Linked DNA regions of Alligator mississippiensis. The protein of the gene in region 2 interacts with the protein of the main gene of each other region in a biochemical or structural test. Links are inferred from orthologs where the notes say so. Each region holds a gene or a part of one and is shown on either strand. Other genes may lie near its edges.

What was found.
Region 1: the proteins of RNF114 (region 2) and XAF1 form a complex in vitro, tested with the Homo sapiens proteins (2 studies listed by BioGRID). The link is inferred for Alligator mississippiensis from reciprocal best matches to the Homo sapiens genes RNF114 and XAF1.

The regions. Positions count from the first base shown.
Region 1 is NC_081837.1:9,462,390-9,474,476, reverse strand, and holds the start of XAF1 (XIAP-associated factor 1), read right to left. Parts: upstream 5,588-12,087; 5' UTR 5,415-5,587; coding exon 5,218-5,414; intron 3,956-5,217; coding exon 3,820-3,955; intron 3,311-3,819; coding exon 3,254-3,310; intron 2,600-3,253; coding exon 2,404-2,599; intron 1,006-2,403; coding exon 938-1,005; intron 169-937; coding exon 1-168. UniProt on the Homo sapiens protein: Seems to function as a negative regulator of members of the IAP (inhibitor of apoptosis protein) family. Inhibits anti-caspase activity of BIRC4. Induces cleavage and inactivation of BIRC4 independent of caspase activation.
Region 2 is NC_081832.1:13,431,682-13,443,218, forward strand, and holds the start of RNF114 (E3 ubiquitin-protein ligase RNF114), read right to left. Parts: upstream 5,123-11,537; coding exon 4,959-5,122; intron 4,324-4,958; coding exon 4,173-4,323; intron 2,113-4,172; coding exon 2,006-2,112; intron 1,263-2,005; coding exon 1,148-1,262; intron 1-1,147. UniProt on the Homo sapiens protein: E3 ubiquitin-protein ligase that promotes the ubiquitination of various substrates. In turn, participates in the regulation of many biological processes including cell cycle, apoptosis, osteoclastogenesis as well as innate or adaptive immunity.

The DNA.
Region 1 (12,087 bases), on a different chromosome or scaffold from region 2:
CAAGTCCTTGTCCTTCCCTTTTGGACGGACATCCCTCCACGCGGCCGCATTCACGGGGGATGAAGTGGTAGCTGGAAAAGCAGCAGTGGGTGGCAGAAGCGGGCTGGGATTTGTAGCTGACCGGCTGGCGAGACTCCCCACCAGTTTAGCGAGTGGACTGCACTGGCTCTATGGAAGAAAATCCAAAAGAATAAGGGAATTTAGCAAAGGAAATGACCAAGCAGCACAGTGAGGATGGGTGCCTCTGCTGGGTAGTAGGATGTGTCTGGACATAACCTAGGAAAGAATTAAAAAAGATGGAAAATAAGTTGAAACTAAAAAAAAAAAAAGTGGGGAAGGGAAAGAGTTTGACAGAAGGGCTTGCAGATCAAAGCCAAAACTGTTTGGGAAGGGGTGAGCCTCAGGTTGTTTTACAGAAGGAGGAGGTTAGATGGGTGCTCCACAGAGGAGTGGAGGAACTGTCTTGGGAACCACCGCAGCCAGGGCAACATCTCTTGTTAACTCAAGAGTTAACTTGTTAACTCTCTTGTTAACTCAAGAATGGCAGTCTTCTGAAGAGGCAACTGCCCAGCAGGAACCGGGGCTTTTCTCTGCTACAGTGGTTAAGCAATAGGAACAGCTGCAGCTGCTATTATCTAGGCAGACAGTGGGAAAGGCAAAGGGGTGTACTGGTGCTTCCCACATGCCCTGTTGCATGATGCTTCAGCTGTAAGAGAAGAGCCTTGCAGGTACTAATTGGTGCTGGCACTAACAGCGAGGCCTTCGGGACACAAGGGCCAGCGTTGCTTTTGCAACGCATTCACAGGGCAGTAACCTGCAAGCTGCGGAGAGCAAGCAGCCAAAAGACCTTGTCCTACTCTACCCAACACGTCGCTTCCCACAAAAAGAGCCCAGTCAGAAATGAGGGCCAGCCCGATTTGGCTTTCCAGTCACTTACCAGATGCTGGAAGAACTGGTCATCTGGGAATGACTTATTGCACTGCTGACAAAGTTTGTCGCTGAGACCTTCAGGGAAGAAAGGAGGGAGAGGTTGATTGGTAATGTGGGACTGACTGGTTATGGAAATAATGTGCAAGTACATATCGCCTCTATTGTGTGCCTCGTTTTTAGTATTTCAGTAGGAAGACGGGCTTCCTCAGCTGTGCTGTTCTTCGGTGCCTCTGTAACCAGACAACCCGGAAAACACTCCTTCGTGTTAATGGAAAGGTCATCTCCAAGCCGCTGGGAAAGGGTTAGGGTTAGGCAGGAGGGGTGATCTAATGGAGAGGGCTGTTGGCTGAGATTTGAGAGAGGGGTTCAATTCTTTGTTTGCCCCTAAATTAGTTTAGGAACAACGCATCCCACATCTGTGGCAGGGGAAGGTTGTACTAGACGGCCTCTGATGTCTTGTCTAACCCTTTGATTATACTGACTTTTGGAAGAAGGTGGCTCTCTGTTACAAAGGGCTGATAGCAGGAGAGAAGTGAACCCGATTACATGAGCAGCCAAGGTTGGTAAATATGCCCAACCCAAATGACAGTGTGAGCTGGGCTTCCAGCTTGTATGTAGTGCGTTTCCAAAGCAGGTTGGGAAAGGTGCTTGTTCAGTCGCTTGCACTAGTTTGCATTAGGAACTAGATTGTTATACTCAAGATGGGATCAGTTGAATAGGATTGGAGTGAGCCCTGATGTACCAAGGGCCCTGTCTTCCCAGTGTGTGCACACCCAAGACTCTCCTTAAAATCCATGTGAGCTGGGGGCGAACAAGGAAGGGGATGCTAGCCCCTGAAACTAAAAAGCAGGTGGGTGTGATACTCATACTAAGATCCTGTTATGTGTCGGAGCCAAGCTATGTAAGTAAGGCTCAGCGCTTCTCAATTATGCTTATAAATATCCAGAGCAAATCAAAATTACTCTGGATTTATACTCGCTGATGTAATACAGAATAAAATGTGGTCCTTCAACTGGTCAAGATGAGCAATAATCCTTTGTGATACTAATTGCAGGGCGCTTTCACATGTTCAAATGAAAGCTGGATAGATGCCAGCTATAAACTTGTTACACATTTTCAAGCACTAGCTTTGTAGCTGGTTGGCTCTTTTTTACAGCTGGATGGAGATTTTTATGGCATAATTACCCTGCACCTGTGGCTGCTCTTACTTTGCACAAGTGACCAGTCTAAATGTATTGTGCGATTAACCACAGTTAATTGTATAATATATGTAATGTGTGGCAGGGGCCACATTACACAAGGCAACCTGCATTACTGGGACTCGGAGAGTGTAGGTGGGGAATTTTCCATGTGATTAACGGATACTGTAGTAACGTGATGCTGTGGGTGATGACAAGGAATTTGGGCTACCTGCGCTTAGAAGAACCAAGGTTTCTAGAGGAGTCACATTATTAATTTGAGAGTGAATCTCACCATGATTTGAGAGCCCATCACCACTACGACAGATGTCTTTGTGCTGGTCCAGGTCCTTGTACATGATGTATTTGTTACAGCCGAAACACTTCTCAGTTCGACTACCGCAGGAATCGAGGTGCTCCTGCAGCTTAGCAGAGGGCATTTCTAGCTCGCAGAACTTGCATTTCATAACTCGTTCGCTGCATTCCATGGTCTGCAAGTGAACAGTCGCAAGTGTTACACCAGGAGTGGAAACCCCCCCCCACACAACAGGCCTAACTTGGTTTTAAGAATGTCCTCCACTAAGACCGTGTCTACATACCAAAACGCAGGTGTGTGGTGCAGGTAGGCATAGTGTATTAGGTTTATATTTAGTGAACGCAGGTAAAACTAGAAGTGAAGAAGCAGTGGCCTTGGCCTGGGCTAGCAACCAAGAGTACAAGCCCACCAGAAACCTAGAGGATGCACTTTGGCTACTACACAACCTGAAGCCAGTGATGCCATATGGTCGTTGGTGGTGTTACAGTAGCTAGATAAAAGCTGCCACAGGTATGCCTACAGTCGCACTTCATGTGAAGGTGAACTCCACAGAAGCGATGAAGTGAAAGGTCCTCTCTAAGAAACTCCCTGCAGAAATGGGGTGGGAAGAGGTGTGGAGGGACAGTCTGATGACCAGGGCATACATTTGTTTTAATATAAAAAGATGGATTACATTAAACCCTGGGTCAAATGGCACTATATTAAGATTGCTGACTCTGGGTTGTTCCATGTTGGGGAAGGCACTAATTTGCAGACATCTCTTTGTGGTGTCTCTAAGAGAGATCAGCCAGGTTGGATTCTGGTCTCGCGCACAGAGCAATGGACTCACCTCATGGTTCTCCAGCTGGTATTGCTGCAGGCTTTGGTGACAAAGCTTACACCTGACCTGAATGAAAAGGGTGACAGAATAGTAGCATACTTAAAGGAAAATACCTGACAGCTTATAGAGAATATTTCAAGTTATCTAATGAACCTGCTACCTCTGTAGGTGAAATCGTCCAAGATGGACTCCCTGCTATTTCCATCTTTGGAAAGCAAATAGGGAACCTTGTTCCTATAGGAACTGAGCAATGTGTAGGATTTTCCTGTTCGGGCAGGAGTTAATCATGCTACCAGCTGATTATTCCCTGTGTTTATTGGAGATTAACTTAAATACAAAAGAGCAGGTTCTCTGACGGAGTCCCTTGACTTGAGCGCACAGTTGCCCTTTGGGGAGAAGGGGGCTGTGGACAGAGCTATAGTGTTGCATCGGGCCCTGACCCATCTTCTCCTCAACAAATACAGATGCTCGTGGCTGTTCGCCATGCAGCAGCACAGCCCGGCATGATTTCCGTGCATCTCCTAACTGCAGGAACTGACAGTCCGAGTCCTTGTTGGAAGGTGAAGAGCTCTCACTTGCTTGTGTGCATTTGCCTGATGCTCTCGCATTTCCTTTTGAACAACAGCCTCTTTGCAGTCTGGGCAGACAGTGAGGAACCGTCGGCAGTGGATCTCGTGCAGAGAGAAATTGGCAGCAGACACATCTTGTTTACTGTGTGACACGGAAAGGGAAAGAATATTATGGGATTGGATACGATTCACCTGGCCGATCCCAGAAAACTGACATCAGGTATTTTATACTTGTGTCTTGTTCAAATGAAGCCTTCCAAGACTCAGCTCTGTTATGGAGGCTTTACTCTTTTGCTGAGGACATCTTTAAGGGAACAGGGGCCCCGTCAGGTGATGTGGGTCCAAAATGAGAGAGTGCTTTTACATCAGTGCAAATCAGGAATAACTCCAACAGAGTTACACTGGTGGGAAAGCAGGATTGTGCCCTATGATCAGAGGGGACCAGCAACATCTGGATTCGCAGCGTTCCAGAGATAACGCAGACAGTATTCAGTGGCTCCAGGGCTGGAGGTCTATAGTAGAGGCTGGGTGCTAGTTTCTTTAAGCTATTGCTTTGTGAAGGGACCCCAGATATTAAAGGGAGAACAGAGGGACGGACAATTTGCTCCCCACAATAGTGACCTTTTTGGCTTATAGCTGGAGAGCTAAGTTGCCTTGACACCAGAAAGAACCATTGGACATAAGGGGAAACTGAGCCAGGGACCGAGTTCGTACTGGGTTGTGTTCCAGACTGCAGGAAAACACCCACAGCTTCATCACTGATGGGAATAACAGACTGCATGTAGCCCAGGGGTGGGCAATTATTTCGGGCGGAGGGCTGCTTACTGAGTTTTGGCAAGCCATCGAGGGCCGCATGACAGGCAGCCAGGGCAGATAAATATAAATTTTTTAAACTTTTTAGAGGCCCTGCAGGCTGGATAGAGTGGCCTGGCGGGCCGCATCTGGCCCGCGTTTTGCTGACCCCGATGCAGCCCCCGCCTTTTTAGGGCACACCTCCCCGGTGGGCAGGTTAGTCCATAATTATGGAGCTCTCTTTCCCCTCTTTGAAGCCGCTTGTCCTGGGTGCTGGACACGCAGCACTGCTGACCCAAGCTGCCCCTCTCTGCCGAATCTTTTAGGTCCTAAGCAGCAGGGCAAGGGACACAGCAGGCAGCAGAGAAGCACTGCTTGATCTTGCCTGGGGGATCTAGCCGTCAGTCAGGGAAAAGAAATTGTCTTCAAAATCCTTAGATGTTAAAGGGCAACACAAAGCAATCAGCTGTTCCGATTTGTTTCCTTGGCCTCCCCTTGGCTTTCTCTGTTCAGGGAGAGAAGCGTGCAATACCCACCCCGAAAAGGAGATCAGCAAAGCCCCTGTGCCCCTCGGGTATCACTGGCACTTGGCAAAAAGTAGGGATTTCTTACCAGTTTGGGCAGAACTTGCTCTCGTCTTCCATGGCTGCTCTCGGGCTCTGCCCCTCTTTCTTTTTCACTTCTTTAATCTGACAAGAGAAAAATGAAACTGAAACTGCCAGTCCCAATAACCAACCCCAGACAAGGGCTCGGCCAATTTTTTTTTCTCCATGCAAAGCAGGAGAGTGGGAACCAACAGGGAGCGGCATTGTCCAGTTACTGTCTCGGCTCCTTCCCACAACAGCTTCAATCAAGAAACGTAGCGTCCAGATGACCCGGGGAGGTGGAAGATAGTTTTGCCCTACTCTTTCCTCTGGCTCAAATGAGTTTGAATATGCTTTGTCTAGCAGGCAGGACTCTTTTCTGTAGCTGCTTGAGGCTGTTAGGGGACGAGGGATATTTCACCTGCTTGGTTTTAATAACAAAGCTGCCTCTAGGCAATTTATGAACTGTCAAATGTTGGATCTGGCCCTTTCCTCTCCTTCCTTTCTATTGCCATAGATTTTCTTCCCTCCTTAGCTGATCATGATTGCTTCCTGAAGACACAAATGAGCAGGTAAAGCCTTAAACAGACGCCTCCATGCGAGGCAGAGTGCCTTCCTGGGAGACCACAAGAGGGAGTTCGAAATCCCTCCATCTCCCTTTCATTTCTGTCTCCCTGAGCTCTGCTAGGCAAACTTTGTAGGATCCCTGTTGCAGGACGTGGAATAAATCTTTCGGCTCGTTCGGTCTGTGCCCCAGGCAGACGCAGCATCTAGTCCCCTAGGACATAGTTTCTCAACCTGTGGTACGTGTACCACTGGGAGTATGTGAGACACAGGCAGGGGGTATGTGGGTACCCCGACACAATCTCTCTTGCCCTCTTTTCCTCTCTCTCTCACCCTTAAATCTATGGCAAAAAAATTGGTGCAATTAAAAAAAAATAAATTCCCCAGTAATAATTTTGTGTTCAGCCCTCCTAGCTTTGGCCAACATCACCTCTAGCCCAAGTCCATACTTGAGTTGTGCAACCCTGGTGTAAAAGTTGGCAACCCTACCCACACCAGATCAGACTTCTGTCATATCATGGCCTTATATACACAGCCCTTCTTCCCACATATGGCACACATTAGTTGGAAGAAGTCCAACTAATGTCCATTATAAAATCCCCATGTTGGGGTACTTATTGAAATTTTCAGAAGTTAGGGGGTACTTGCTACTTAAAAGGTTGAGAAACACTGCCCTAGGAGAGGCAGCATCTAGATTTGATATGATGTGAACGTCTACGGTATTACTTCGGCTCTGGGTAAAGAAATAAGAAAGAAAGTAAGATGACCAAAAAGAAAAAGCTCTGCGTCTAGGGTGTTTTAGAGGGAGCTTAGCCCTCATAGTAAACCTTAATGACCTTTTCCTTACAAAAGCTCAGCCAGTTTCTTTCCATTCATAAGGTTTTGACCTCACGAATAGGACCTAGGGTGGGAGTCCAGAACAGAAGGGGAGATGAGGCTGAATTGGAAACAGATTTGCTGAAGAAAGAGAGAGAGAAAGAGAAAGCATCATTCAAAACTAAAAAAAAAAAAATGGATCGGTTAACCTGCCCCGAGTTACTTTGGCCCTGAATCGCGCAGAGCAGGCCTTGGTCTTCTGACTCGCAGGGAAGGTTACCTATAGCTCCTGGGCCTGGGAAAAACTACCTCCTCCTTAGACATCTCCCATGGCGTCTGCCTCCCCAAGCAAGAGCCTCAGTTGTTTTTACAGCTGACTTGTCTGTGACCATGTGACAGAGGCCATTGTTCACTCAGCCAATCAGAAAAAGGCATACAGCCTAATTTCCAAGACAAGTTTCCCATTGACATTTGGGCACTGTATCACCCCACTGGAAACGGAGGCACGACGAGCGCGCTGCCGGGGGTCCCCCATCGAGGCTGAAGTCGAGCGTGGGATAGGATAGATCGGAGCTGCAGATCGGTGCCGTGCCCTAACAGCAACGCTGCCTTGCCATAGAGCCAGACCCTGAATCTCACTTCCAGCTCACCAAAATCACACTGGGGTTTGGGTTCTCTAGTAACCCTCAGCCCCTTTCAAGTGATCTGAGTTGTGAACAAGACCCAACGTTTAACGTGGAGGCATCGAAACGCCTCTTTGCCCTACCCTAGGACCGGTGATGGCCAGGGCGAGAGGGGGCCGCTTCTGCTTGCAGATGTCCCTAGTTTGAAAGGAGGAGGGGATGGCAAGGTAAATTGTTGACAGTGGAAATCATCGCTTAGCCTTGGCCCAGCACAGTTTGTGCCTTGACATTTCTGGCAAACGACATATTCCCTTTTTTTCCTGGAGGAGCAGGCTGACTGGGCTGTGGCTCTGTTCTGGGAGCAGGAATACACGCGTGGGGTAGGATGTGCCTTTTTGACCATGGATCCAATAAAATTTGGATGAATAATAAAGGACTTTTAAGCTGTAAGTTTTCTGGGGGTAGGGACAAGGGGTAAGTGATGGGATAGTAATGGCATTCCTGCCTATTGCATTCCTCTCCCATTTCTCTCCTGCTATGGTTATCTTCAGGACACTGTAGGGAATCAAAGGCTTGAAAAGCCCATATTGGTGAATGAGAAAGCAAGATCCCCTCAGCGCTGATAATGGAAACAAATTAGTACTTATATTAAGGTACCATTTATACACGGTGTATAAAGAGCACATTGACACGGGTTATAAGCTTGTGACGGACAGGATGCGTCATCGATGGCTATAACCACAGCACAAGACGGCAACACAGATGATTTTAAACGACTTATTGATTTGTTGAATTCTACAACTGTTGATTTAATAACTGAATACTTCTTTGTAAGCTCTGTATGAATAGACCGAACTCTAATGTGAAATATGTATGAAAGCATTCTGTCCACTGAAAGGACCGTATTTAGTATTTAGTGTTTGGTTTAGCAACCATGATCTGCTAGTTGTTTTCTAGACATAAAAGATGTGATGGCCTCTGCTCTGAGGGACTCCCGTCCTAAGGATGGACAGGCAGACTGCTAGACAAGCCAGGGGAATGGCTTGTCTATGCAATAATTGCAATAATCTGGAGTTCTGCTCTTGTCTTTGTGCAGCCTTGTGGTTATTGTTTCATTGCAAATGACTCTTTTGACATGAATATATCAGACATCCCTTTTCTAATTAATGGCAACAGTCTCTTTCCTGCAGAGACTTTCACTTCTCCCTTGCTTGACTAGCTGAATCGAAGCCAGGGGGCCGGTATGTGCTTAGTGCTTCTGAAAACTAGGTTCACTTTTCACTGGTATAAAAAGCCCCACTTTCTCAGTGATGAGGAATGGAGAAAGACCCAGAAGAAGGTGCAGGGTAATGAGGAATCGGGTCCCTAGTGTCTCAGGTTGGATGCCCCAAACTAGTGGGCATTTTGGAAATGTAAGCCTTGACCTTTCCCTCTGTAAAATGGGGATGATACTATTCGTTCCCTCGGGTGCTAGAAGACATCGTGTATTTTAATGTTTGTGGGATCCCTCCTCATGCTACACAGGACACAAGTACAAAACACTCTCCTTACCAAATCAGACTTCAAATCTCTCTGGTTAATTTTCTGCCCGTCCAAATGCCTTCTTCTCTTTGTCCTTCCTATCCCCTTCCAAATAACAAGAAGAAACGAGTAACCGATTGTCCAGACTTGGAAATAATTAGTGTTTGTTTGCATTTTGCAACACAAATTATGTAACAAGGCAGAGAAAAGGCTTTTGAAAAAATATGTAAATGAGATGGCAGTCATCAAGAAGGAATGGGTCGCAGGCAGGCAGACAGTCTATTGCCAATTACCAATCAAATACTTCTTTTCCCCCCGGTCTTTCTGCTGTACAGTATTTGAAATTCCCTGGGGCTTCAATTAAACTGTACTGGAAGTACCACCCTGGGGCTCAAAAGTCTGATCAGCATGGCACCGTGACAGAGGAAACCCCCATTGACTTGAGGTTCATAATGAGAGCTTTTGTATAGCCAGTTGTTGGGCACAGGGATTGTACCAAAAGAACTTGAAGTTAAGAGGCTCAAAAGCTCTACTTGGAAAAATATCAGATGCTGCATTGGGGACCTTGCTGAAGGATACTCCTAAAGGAACACAGTGGACTGGCAGAGGCTGTAAAATGTTCTCAGTAAGGAGAAACAACAAGGTAAGGAACAAGTGATGTCCCGTGAACTCTAGTAATCATTCTTTTACTTTTAAGCCTTGTGTAAACCTCCTAGTGCATAACATAATGGTTTCAGATCTGTTTTAGGTGACCGATCAAGTCAAGCATCACAAAGGTAAGTTCTGAACGGGTTGTTTTTTAAATGTAAATCTCACGCGACGGGATAGTATGTTCCTTTTCTGCCAAAACCTAGGAAGTTTCAGGGACGGCCTTTTTTTTTCTTTTTCATTGTCAAGTATCAGAGATTTTGCAGTCCTTTGTTATTTCCATTGTTTCTGTACCTCCAAATGCTGCACTAGTGCTGCTGCAACATTTTAATTGCTTTAAAACAAATTGAAGCACAAGTACGTTTGGAGTGGAGCTAGCAGCTGCATAGGTTAATCTGGCTGTGTTGGCACAATGACATCCTGTTTGCAGAGTTTGTTCTTGTGTGGTCGCTCGCTGTTTGGACTGAAAGTAGGGGCTGGGTGGAAATCATTTCTGCCTCTAAATGCTACTTGCTACCTCCCTGCCAAAGCCCACTCTTGTCTAGAGATAACATTAGCCGGTGGAAGCAGTGGTTCAGCAAGATATACCTAAAAAGTAGTTTCTTGGAAATGAGCTAGGTTACACTAAATAGCCTTTATTCCCTAATTATTCTCTGGCGTTAGGGTGGTTTTGAAACTCTTCCCTTTCAAAGAGACTTTTCTTCTGATGATGCACGGGTTACTTAATTCAGACACTACAAACATATCAGCTGCTGCTAATTATTTCGCTGCAACATCCAACACGATTGTTGACACATCTACAATGACTGCTCAAGTCGAACTGACTTTCATTTTTATGCCCATAAAATAAGGGGATGGGATCTCGGGAGTCAGGAGATCTGAGTCCTTGCCCAAGTTCTCTCAAGGGGAAGATCTTTATAGATGTTCTTGGTTTTGGTTTACCCATCTCTGAAATGGCAATAACAATCCTAGGACTACCATGAAGCTTGACTCATAAGTGTGCTTTGAAACCCCATCGCATCCCCTCCCTGTACTTCAGTGTCTCCATCTGTAAAATGGGGATAATGGTACTGACCAACTTCAAGCAACGTACTGATTGAGAAGTATCCTACGAAAGCTGCTGTCCAGCAGAAGGGACGAGGACGGTCACTGGCTGCAGCTCCTAAATGGTACCTGCAGCCCCAAGCCAATTCTACCTGCCACTTCAAACCAGTTAAAGGCTGCAGCCTCGGGGTTTTTTGGAAACACTGCTCTGCTCCCGCTGTTGTCCGTGGTGCTGCCTGAAGGCAATGATATTTTTTTTGTAAAGGCTCAATTAGCCTGCAGTGAAATTCAGCAGGTGGGAGGTTTTTGTTTGAAGGCCTGTTTTGAAACCTCCCAAATTCCTGGTGCCGGGTCTTTGTAAGCAGGAGCGTTTCTCAGCAGCTCCTTATGATTCCTGTAGTCTGCCTGTCAGCTGGGTAGCAAGCAAGCAGGCAGCCAGGGCTCCCCACTCCCTTGGCAGGCTGCTCGGGAAGATTTCCGGGCCAGTTACGTGAATGAGCTGACAACCTCACAGCGCACCAATGCATCTCCGGGCTATACACAGCCCGTGGGGGATGGGGAGCAGAGGGGCCTTGCCAAATCAAACATGTTCCTCTGGCCTCCTTTCTGCCGGATCAAGTTCAAGCTTCCCAGCACAGTTCTCTGGCATGGGCTGCATTGTAAACCCCTCTCCTCCCCTGCAGTTCATTCACTTATGCTCCCCGCTCCCTTTACACCCGGCTCAGCACAGCAAGCCTGTTTGAAGGTCTCGTTCTCACCTCCCCATCGGGCTCTCTTATTTTCATTGCCAAAGTGCTGCACATCAGCAAATCGTCAGGTTGTCCGTCACTCTGGTGCATCTGAGGGCATGGTTCAGGTAGCACGCTAATGCCTTTGCCCTGCATCTGTGCTGGGATAAACTTCTCCTGCTGCCTCTTAAATTGATGTGCACCGTGGAACCCTGCTGGTGTCCTTTTATTTTATTTTATTGGTTTTTGGCTCCCTGCCTTTGCCTCCTTTTTCCTCCCAAAGGGTGTCTTCCCCCAAAAGATCCCGCTGTTAATTTTTTTTTCAGTATTTTCCGTGCAACTGCCCAAGCCCAACTGCTGCTGGAAACCCCGGGAACCTCCCAGCCCCAGGATTCCTTCCCTTCGCCTGTTAAAGGCGCATTGCCCGTGTCGCCCCGTTCAGGTAAATCACTTCCCGTTCAGATAGCCAGAGGATGGTTGCTCCCTTTGTCCTTTTTTTCATATCTCACACCTTTTTTGCTCTGATTTTCCATGACTCAGTTACTCAAGAAACCCCAATCTCCAATGCTTGGGGTTTTGAGTTACTTTCCATGGAATTGGGGTGGTTGTATTTTGTAGGGCACATGGAGGAGGGGTTAAGAATAACCCCCCACACTCTCCTGTTGAAATACTACCCCTTTCTCACTTTGCAAACTGGGAAGCTTGAGGCCCAGGCTGGTTTAATGACTTGTTTAAAGCCATTTGGCGTCAGAACGGGGAGTTCCTGGATGCCAGTCCTACAATCGGGCTTCTCGAGCGAGAGCCTCCCTGTGTCTGCTTAGTTCAGCTGTTCCCCCGCAGCTTTGCTTTTGCTTTTTATTTCCTTTTATTCATAATTGCTCCTTTGCCACTGAAGCACCAAGACAATGAACTGTGTTAGTGTTGGTAACTAAAAGAGGCAGCAAACCTCAGAAC
Region 2 (11,537 bases):
CCAATGTTGAATTCCCTTCATGTTCAGCTGGGAAGCACACCCTCAGAACTAGAGACCTCTTTAGAGGCCTTTCTTATTTCATGGCAATTTTTAGCACGCATATTTCCCTCCTGAAGTCCAGGGTCTTTGCCTCTAAGTAACCAATTTAAAAAACATTGAGAGAGGAAAGTGCCAAAGAAACAGAAAAAATGCTTCTATACGATTGTGAAGCTTATGAACACAGTTCATATAACCAGAATTTCACTTTGTATGCAAAATGAATTGAGAGTGTTTTGTCAAGCCACAGAACACTACATAAACCAATTGGTTCCTCAGATACTGAATTAACATAATTCAGAAGTTTGTGACTTTGAAGTAAGACTGGTAGTTTGAGCCTCCCTCTCGTGGAGGGCAAAATACTGAACTAAGTTTGCTTTCTAAAATACTTTTAGAAACCTTCATTTCTACAGATTATAAAATATCTGCACACCAACACTCCTGTAGAACATATTGATGTCTTCATAGAAAAAGAGACTGTGATTTTGTAAATTAAAACTAGAGAAGTTTTTCAAAACTACACCCCAATTATTAATTGTTAGAGCCAAATTCAAGTTTTGCTGTTTTTATTCTACTTACTGCCATATCTGTAGGTAAAGATCTGTGTAAATGCTTGTAACAATATTAAAAAGTTTACACATCAGACAGTGTTATATACTTTTGCTCAGGATTTAGGGAATGGTACATAAAAGGCTTGGATGTCAAAATTTCATTCCAACATTACTTGTAGCTTCAAGAGGTTAAGATGGCTAGTTTAGTGCACGTTTTTTTAAATGCGAGCATAGGCACTTAAAAGATGCTTTGATATCTTTCTGAAAACTTGTCTACCTCCCCACAGACTCCTCGAGAAGCGTGTTTTGAATTTGCCCAGATCTTCAAAACAAGAGTAATATCCAAACATTAACATTTTTGTATACACACAATTTTATTCACAAGGATAGTCCTATTTAACTCAAAAGGAATACCTGCAGTTTAAAATCAGGCATACACTTAAGTGTCTAAGGTCCCCGAGCAGAAATCACCGAGGGACCTAATGCTAAAACTAGCTTCAGGCTGCTGGCATATTTCTGCAACACCAGCATTATACTGAATCTGATACTGTAAGCATTACCACTTGTTTTGCATCCATGATGTGGTACTTTTTGCAATGTTCAACTAGTCCTTCCTGATCAAGGTTTCTCTCACTGCAGTAAGGACAAGGAAAGGTAAAGCGATTTGGAACATTCCTGGGGGAAAAAAAAAAAAAAAAGATTGTGTTTACATTTTAGAAAGTTAATACCTAATGAGAGACTGGCTACTCATGGTAATTTGAGAGAGAATATTTAAATAAAGAGCACTTAGGGTCACCACTTATTGTGTGATATATGAGCAAGCTGAATTTAAGAACTTGTTTTTTCTATCAGTGAAGAAATGACATCTCAAAGGGCAAAGTTAATACATCTGGCAATTACAGTTATTCCCTTACAAAAATATCAAGTTCAGCTTGCTTTCCTGGTCTGCACCATTTTTGTGAAGAATATGAAAGTTTGCCAGACAGTCTACAATATGGGTGACCAGTTCAATGTAGTCATTTCTCATTTCATTTCAGTAATTAATCAGAGACAGAATAACAAGTTTAAAACTAAAATAAAACGTAGATAGCCTTACCCAGGACCCTGATCTTGTAATAGTTTGTGCATGGGCAATTTAAGTCAGTAGAGCAGTGCACCTGGGCGATATCATTTCTGTATTAGAGCCTAGTTTAATTGTAATACAGCATTAAAAGAACTACTCCCCCTAGACTAAATGAAGATCTAACAGTCTTTGCTTGTACTTTCACATGCTGCACAAGAAAGTGCCTGCAACACACCAAATGCACCAAAACGTATAAAAACAAATCAGGAAAGCAAGTTTTGGCATTAACTAAAACTTCCACCATCAAAAATCTTTACCCAACCACCTCCCTGTAAATGACTGGAAACAGAAATACCTGGTGTTACAAGGTGGTTCTTTAGTTACAGCTTTCACACCTTCCATTATATAGTTCTGGTATTTTGAACAAGAAGCTGCATGACTGCGTAACTTTGAAAGGTACATCTACGCAAACAAGAGACAGAATGTGAAGGTTATTAAGGTTAAGTACAGGAACTACAAATCACAGGAATCAGAAAACATTCTGTTCAGAGAACATTAAAATAAGGAAAACTGAATGTTGTGGCACAAGGCAGTCTGTTCTGAACAGAAGCTACTCACTAGGTTAACATGCTACTTGTGATACATTATGATATAATATAATGTTTAGACTCCCTGTTCACCCGAGTACCATAATTCTTGCTTTTTTTCCCCTCTACATCAAAAGGAAAATAAACTAATTTCTACTTTGTACTAAACCAAGCCAACGTTCCAGCTCTGCCTGCCATTCTTCCCTGTTATGGGCTCAAATAGAGACAAGCTACTGAATCATTAGCCAATATATTGTATAAAAGTAAACACAACAGAGTATTAGGCCAGATGTAAATTAAGCGTGCTAGAAAAATACTTATGATCACAAGCTTACATTGTAACCATTTCTTCCTCTCATAGGGTACAATGATTCCTTGTTAAACAAAATGTTAGTATTGATATGTCCTACTAATCAGGGGTGCACCAATAAAGATTTTTGGGGGTGATACTGATGGCCAATTATTAATGAGCCATATTGGGCCAATGTTGATCCGACTGCTAATATGAAGCCCACCAACATGGAGAGCAGCGTCTGGCTGGTAAGTCTGCTCGGGGTGGGGGGGGGGAAGCAGGGAGGAAGGAAGGGGTGTGGTGGGGAGACAGTTGAGGTCTCTGCAGTAAGGGAGCCAATGCATCAGTGTACCTCTACTGCTAATGTTATTCTGATTAATTGCAAAGAGTATATAAGAAGATTTTATTAAATTTAGCAACTCGTTTCTCTATTCATTCTGATAAGACAAGTGTCAAACTGAGAAAGAAACCTAGTAAGAGGTCTATAACTAAATAAGAATTGAAGGTATTTGAATACTGATGCTTTCCAGAACTCTGACAAATGTGTGTGGCAGACTCTGGTAGAAAACAGTGGTAAATCTGGAGGGTTTATATTTTATTCAGACAGTAAAATATGGAGGCTACAGTTTTTTCTTTTATGACAAATCAACCTTTTTACAAATTTGAATACTTGCATTTTTTCTAGTACCCAAGAGTCAGAAAACAAAACTGCCTAGAAACGAAAGTGAAACTGGCTAGACCCAAGTTACAGGAAATGCAGCATGAAAGGCAAGCCATACAATTAAAAAAAAAAAAGTTTTAGTTGGTAGGAATTTGTATAAGGTATATCTAGAAGGAACCCTATCACGTTAAGGATTTTTAACTAATTAGCTTTAGCTTTATCTGGTGGAAGCTAGTTCTATGTTAGCTATTAAGCTATGCTGACTATCAAAAAGTCAATTGGTCACGTAGCAGAGTAATCAGGAGATAATCAATGTTTGTTATTTTTACAGCACTGCCATCGTAACAGCAGTGCTCTATAATTTCTACGCTGCAACGTCTGAAGTCTGGGCTCTGTATTAATAATATCATGGAAGGATAACATTTATGTCTACATTTTACATATTTCCACAGCATTAGACTCTTATCTGTACAGCAGAAGCTGGAGAAGACATGACTTTTACCAGATACCAGGCAGCACCACCATAGCAAACTACCCCAAATATACTGAATACAATTTCAAATAACTCTATCAGAAAGGTGCTTCTGTCAGTAATCAGTCCAACAGACTCTCCAGACAGGTTTCACTTGATTTCTCCCGGGACAAACGTTGCATTTATAAAACAGCATTCTCCCTGCAGAAATGTGCGCGCACAAGTTCCCATGACATCTTTACATTGCATGTTTGCTGCATACTTCAAATAAAGGGGCAAGTAATCAGCTAACAAACTGAAGTTCACCTCTCAAAGGAAGAAACAGAAGACACGGCTGGGGTGGGGAGGAGGAGAGGACATTGGTGTGCTACCAAGCATTATTTCTCTGCATTATTTAACAACATTAAAATCTTGATGGCTGACTCTCCAGAAGGCTGAAAAGAAAAATGTTATTTTCCAGGTGTGGCTAAATAGGGAATTGCGTACTGAAGTTTTTAAATGCTTTCATACTTTTTTATTGCAGCCACTGCAAGCAGTTTCTGTCATTTCAATTTGTTTTTCCAGATCCAGAGCTGTGCTGCCAGGAGACAGGGTACTACGGCAGACTCCACACACTGGCTTTTTCGGCTTAAGACATTCCTGCAGGCATGGAGCGCAAAAACTAATAGGGAAGAAATACAAGGTTTCTAAAAACGCATGCTGTAGAAAACGCCTGCACCGTTCCCAACGAGACCCTCACGGATATACCTTAAATTTGGCCAATAACGAAAGGGAAGTCACAAGGGACAACGCACATCAAAAACCTTCACCCTACCTATGTCACACTCAAAAGGGACAAACTGGTATCGAGGGCTACGTTTCAAGAACAAAACAGCTATCGTGAATGTTAGGTGCGGCCCCGTCCCTTGGTGCTCCGGCCAATTTATGGCCAAAGTGTTTCCTGCTGGAAGGTTTGGGGCTTCAGAAACATCCCACGCGAGCAACAAAAGCCGAGGACGGCAAAGGGCAGGGCGCGCTGCCGTGCAAACACAGGGGCTCTCTCATGACAGGAACCCGAAACTTAACTGGCAACAAAACCCACCCCTTCCTGCACCGGCACACCCCGCCGGGCTCGGGCAGGTCCTGCGGGGCAGGGGGGGGTACACCGCGGGGTAAACGGGCCCGGGGTGGGGGGGACACCCCTGGGCGACGGGTTTCACTGGACGAGAGGGCGCGACCGGCTCGCACAGGGCTGCCCGGCCCCCGCCCCGGTGGATCGCTCCCCCCGCCCGCTCGTACAGCGCCCGCCCCGCTCACACGTGTCCGCAGGGCGCCCGCACGGGGCTCTCGTAGACCTCCAGGCACACGGGGCAGAGAAAACGCGATAGCGGGTCTTGCGGCGCCGCCGCGGCCGGGTAGCGGGAGCCGTTGTCCGCCCCCGCCATGTTCCGCCGCCTGACTTCCGCGAAGCACTTCCGCATGCCACTCCCACCGCCGACGGTGGCCCGCAGGCGCCGGCGCGGCTACGCCCCCGTACAGGGCCACGCGCATGCGCGAAGTGTAGCTCCTCCCCACGCCTCTGGGCCTCGCGGGGGGGGGGAAGCAAAATAGTTGGCTCCGCCCAGCGCCGCTGGAGGGGGCGGGGCTTCCGTGTTGGAGGGCGGTGTGGAGCTGGCTGGGTTCAGCGACTGCTGCAGCCCCAGCCTCCTATCCTGTCTCTTTTGGGGGGGCTGAGATGGGCTGTTGGTGTTAAGTGGATGGTTTGTCATGAGTTTTATGCTTTTATGCACCGCCAATTGCTCCATAATTTCAACCCCCAGGTCCTTTTCTGTAGAGCCACTGCTTAGCCAGTCAGTCCCAAGCCTGTAGCGATGCATGGGATTGTTGTGTCCTATGTTACCTGTCAGCTCTGTGTTCCTGAGGGAGCCCTTGCACCCAGCTTGCTGGACTTACAAAGGACTTTTTGTATTCCCCCCCCCCACCCCTCATCTAACCAAAACTAAGCAGAAGAAAAGTTGAATAGGCATCTCTGGCCGTACATTCCCAGGTCCCAGTATGGGAGGTCTATTTAAACTTAATTGACTAAAACTTGGTTGCCGGGTTAGGGAATGCTGAGGCAAGAAACCGAGTCAGAGAGGGTACAGGCAACATTTGAACAATGGTTAAGGGTTCCTCACAGGGTCCAGCCCACTGGAGCCCTGAGCACAAATGCTGTCATACTTTTCCTGAGATGACTGGTGCAAGTCCTCCCCACAAAGTTTATAAACTCTCCAAGTAATCCCCTTAAGTACGTTAAAAGACTACAGTAAGATCTGAAAGTCATGTGAAGCTGAGGCTTATTCACAACAGGTAAAATACAAAACACTGATGCTGACTTCACAGTACAAGCATAGCTAGGCCATTTGAGAAGAAACAATGTGGTATCCCTTCCAGTATATCTTCTATATTCATAATAATTTCAAGCTGGCTCCTACGTGTCTGGTTACTCCTTAAAACTTTATGTTTTTCCTGGTTGTTAATCAGTTTCTGGAGATGTTCCAAACCAGATAATCCCTTGTCACTGAAAAAGGTAATTCATCTAAACTGAAACTGCTTATATAACAGGATTTTCCCTGTCAATGATGGCTTGGGACCCTCTTGATTTACACAATTAAACAAATGCTTTGAAGAAGCTGGACTATAAGGGTACAAGAAAGCTGTAAAGCAGCAGTGTGCTTCAAGAGAGAATAATCTCTCTGACACCATCCGCTATTGCTCTTGAGAAGCTGGGAGAAACAGATCATCTCTCGGTCGCCTGTTTAACTTTCAACTATTGTGCTAGGAACTTTGCCTGTCAACAAACCGCCCAAGTGCCTTGGAACGGTGAGATCCCAGCTCGCGCTCGCTCTCTCTTTCTTTTTCTCTCTAGGCATAGCTTTCTGAACCTGAATTTTATTAGTCAAGCTTGAGCTAGGTTTCCCCAAATACTCAATTAAAACAGGGTAATATTGTAATCATTTTTGTTCATTTTTCCTTGTATGTCTATTACTACTAGTACCGTCATAAATTTCATATACTTAGCAATAAATAACTTTTATAGTCAAACTAGTGGTAACTGGATGTATTTTTTCTTCTCTGCTTCCCCTTCCCCACTTGCTCTGCAGCAACACTGCTCATCAAGAGGCTATCAGTGCTAGGAAAGTAAGGGCAAAAGATTGGGATGTGCTGAGTTTAAGACACATAAGGGGATCAGCTTGTATAGGCTGATTGACCCAGTTTGGCTCAGATGTGCCCTAATGAACTGAATGCTGGCCCATGAGGGTGTCAGCTGGCCACCCAGCCGGATTCAGAGGTATTCTGTTCACCTGTGTGCTTGTGTCTGCCTGCACTTTATTGTTACCTTAATGAACTGATTCCTGGTATATGAGGGTGTCAGCTTGTACATGCTGATCAACCTGGCCGGGTCAGGCGTGTCACGTTAGTGTGTGTATTTGATGAATTTGGTGGCTGGAGGAACCCTTGAAACTGAGTCCTACAAGATAGCTCCATTGGGGGTGAGGACCTGCAGAAGGGAAAGATACAGCTCTGTATAGAAACACAAGTAACAGAAGCAGCATATTAATTAAATTACAAAGACCCTAGAAACGTATCCCTAATAAATGCGCACACCCCAAAGTGATGGGCAAATCTGGTAACACCGAAGTGCAGGACTTTGCATTTGTCCCTGTTGAACCTCATGAGATTTCTTTTGGCCCAGTCTTTCAATGTGTCTAGGTCACTCTAAATCCTAGACCTACCCTATTACTACCCCCAGCTTGGTGTCAGCTGTGAACTTGCTGAGGGTGTAATCCATTCCATCTTCCAGATCGTTAATGAAGATACTGAACAAGACTAGACCCAGGACCGACCCCTGGGGCACTCCACTTGATACTGACTTCTAACTAGACATTGAATCATTGATCACTACCTGTTAAGCCTGACGATCAAGCCAGCTTTCTATCTACCTTACAGTGCATTTATCCAGCTCATACTTCCTTAGCTTGCTTGCAAGAATGCTGTGTGAGATGGTATCAAAAGCCTTGCTGAAGTCAAGTTATATCATGCCAACTGCTTTCCCTGCATCCACAAATCATTGATAACTACTCTTTGAGAGCTCCTTTTCACCTAGCTGTGCATGTGTCTTACCACTAATAAATTGCTTTATTTTTCAGCAACAGGGACTGAAACTCTATCTTGATTTTACAAGCCAGAAAATATCTGTGGTGCTGCTAAAATATGAATCTCCAAATCTCATACCTCCTGGCTTAGTTGCCTAATTTCCCCATGCTGAATACTGACTGAGGTTTCATTTTCCCCTGAAATACTAGATATTGGCTACTATTCACAGCAAGTCACCTTATGCTTTAGGATTTGATTTTGTAAGTCCTTTTGCACTGTTCAGCAGGAAGCATAAGGTGCTGCACTCCAGGTGTGAGCAGAAGCTATATGTGGGTGCTAGTGCTAAGTATAGAAAGCTGACCTGAAAGCTAGTCTAAAGAGTCCCATTGTCTTCAATGAGATTTGAATCAGGTCCAAAGTAGTTCTGTTTCAAGGGCGAGAATAAGAGGCAAATCCTTTGCATACCTGCATCCTTATACAGTACAGGATAAAAAAAAAAAAAGAGGTAGTGGCACAGGGAACAATGAGTGTCCAAGGAGCTACACTGTGGCTGCCTTCATCCTACCAGGCAAGAGTCGGTCATGCAACAGCCCTGTTAATACTTTGAATGCCTTCAAGAGACATTTGAACGTTTATCTTGCTGGGATCCTATGATCCCTGCTGATTTCCTACTCCTGGGGCAAGGGGCTGGACTCGATGATCCTCCGGGGTCCCTTCCAGCCCTAGTGTCTATGAAATCTATGAATACAGAATCAGGTTCCCTTGTACTCCTGCCCATCAGTTATACACACACCATTTCAGCTCTGCCATGCAGGACTGACCAAAGTAATTCAGAAAACTTTGTGTACTGAAGAGAACTTTTTAGACTGAATGAATAGAAAAATTATATACCTTTCATCTAAGAAAGAAGCCTCTCTTCTTCCAAGAGTCACTGCAATACATGTTTTGCATTACAGAGCTATTTTCCCAGTTCTCTATTCCACTCTATGAGTTTTAACTTAACCTTTTTTTAACATTTGGTTGGGACGAAGTTAGAGAGAAGGGGGGTGGTGTGGAATGTAAATTAGGAAAAATAAAAGAAGAAAACATTCTGTATATGTGAAGCCAACTGCTTCCATTACTGTGCCAAGTGACAGTTGTCATGAAACTAGCTGTATTAGAAAATCAAAGCCATAAACGCACTGCCAATGACAGAAGAATTATTTTCTTTTATCACAATTGTGCTTGTCATACCCCTATTACACGTGTACACCCAAGGGGAGAGATGGTCTCCCATTTCAATTTGTAAACCAGCTGCAACAAGACTAAGTTGCAAAAGTTTAATATTTCCAATTCAGTATGAGCTTTTATCATGTCAAACATGGTTCCTGATACCTGGATCATGTAAGTTAGATTTCATTTCTGCATTGCTGCTGATGAAAATGATGCAGGCTTCCAGAATACCATGCTCGCTAAATGCTCTATCAGATGGGAGTCTCTTGCTGTATATGAAACAGTGCACTGAAGCTGCAGAGAGAACAACTGTGTTTCTGAGAAACACTCAGCATTGTTCTGGCAAAACACTCAGCTTTGATTCAGCCATAAAGCACACTCACCCACAGCTAAGAACTTAAAAAGTGATTGATTGCTGTAGAAGAACAAACCTATTATGGTTCATATAGTGGAAAAAGTGCAGACTTCTAGGTTAAAAATCAACTCCCTTCAGGCAGAATGTAAAGGAAATTGGAGTTGGTTAGACCCAGGCTGATTTTAAGAGGACCAAGAGGTAAATGTTCCCATGTTACTGAAAGCAAACAAATGCTTTTAAAAATAGCTAAAGCAGCAGAGTGTAAGTAATTGGTGTCGGCAAACAGAATCTATTTGGTTTCTGACATTAGCCCCAGGACTGAAGATTGTCCACATTTTATTCATTATGTTATTACTCACATATGTTTTGAGTGTCTTGTAGTAGCAAAATGTGATTCTATTTTCCCCTTCATTTACCTTCAAGACTGCTCTGGCTCTGGAATAAATATTGACCTTTTAGAAAGGGGTAATGCAGCTCTTATTCTGTGGTTTTCAAGATAAGTAGATATTAAATCAGTTTATAAAATAATTGTATAATGATTCAATAATTGCTTTCTGTTGTGACTGAGTAGCTACATCCTGCATTATTTAAAAGAGCACTTAATTTTTTGTCTTGCTTATGCTGGAATAAATTTCTTTTACCTTAGGAAGTAAATCATTAGCTCTAATCACAGATAAACCACAGGGCTAGATTCACAATAGATATTTAGGCAATTAAGTCTTGCATAGGTATCTAGCTCTCTCTGATTTGAATGGGAGCCTAAATATTTCTGTGGATTTGGGCTGATGTATTCACCACAACCCCTTCCTCCTAATCCAGTTTGATCTGGAACTCAACAGGGATTTAGATTTCTATGTGCTGAATTGACTCTCAGTGGAATTTGATGATCTTGCCAGACTGGACCAAAGTCTACATCTTGCCAAACTGGACCAAACTCAGCTGCTATGGAATTTAAACTTGCAGAAACACAGAAAATGCCCCACATGTTGCCAAACATGATCACTAATGGGCACACATTTAATTACCATCCGACAACATAAGTATCTCATTAATATGTTGCACCTTTACCCTTTTAATGTGCTATGGTATGGTTACCTCTCACTGTTCAAATAGGGTTGTGTTAGTACTTGAACAGAAGCCATGCAAGAACACCTAGCAGAGAGCAGGGTGTGATGCAATTTGTTATTTCTCATGAGTCAGCCCTGAACCAGGTGGAGAGAATGGAGGAAATTATGCAGCTGGAAGTGGCCTAATCTCTTTCAGATGAGAGTACAAAGACCTGACTATTTAGAGTCATTAAAAATCCCAGAGCGCTGAGAGTTCAAACCGGATTAGTAACCTAATGGCCCTAGTTAAACTTTTCTTTCCTACCACTCACGTGCAACATCCTTTGTCACCCCACAGGCAGATGCACTGAGGATCACTGCTGTACTGCATACACTGAAGTGCTATGGATGCCCCAAAAACAAATATCACCCCCCACTGTCAATTCTTGAGAGTTTTTTGACAACTCCCACATAATTTAATGTTTCTCCCAAAGCCTCAGCTGCCAGTCCTATAATGCCATGAGACTCACAGTTTCCATTAAAATACTTCCAACTTTTGTGGCTGCAGAACACATCAGGAATGAGACCAACGGGAACCTCCAAGGACTCAGAAGACAAATGAAAACAGAAGCTTCTTTAAAGGCATCGTGACTTTAGAACCATTAAGTATTTCCCACATTTCTGGGCTTCACTAGTCGCTCCCCCACCCCCTTCTGCTTCATGTGTCAGAGGGGTTTAAGACTTGGGCATTGGGTGTTGGCTACAGCCGAGCTTGGGGGGACTTTGGGGGGTGCATATGCTCCTGTTGGGACCAAAGCCAGAGGCTCTTGGCTAGAGGGTTTTTTGACCCTTTGCTCAGGGTCAGACTGATACTCAGGGTCAGGAAAAAATGTTACCCCATGGTCAGACTGGTACAGCCTGGGGGGTTTGCCTTCCTGTGTAGCAGGGGTGCGGCCCTCAGCCTAGGATCTCGAGCGTGTATCAATGACATCCTATAGAAGCAGGACACCGGCTGCCTGGTTCCCCTGCCTTACCCATGGCAGGTTGGGGTGTGAGGCTTGTGCTGTGTTGATAGTGACAGTAGCCTTATGCCAAGTTTAGTGGAGGTTTAGATAGGGTGGTTAGGACAGGGGTGATGCTACCTCA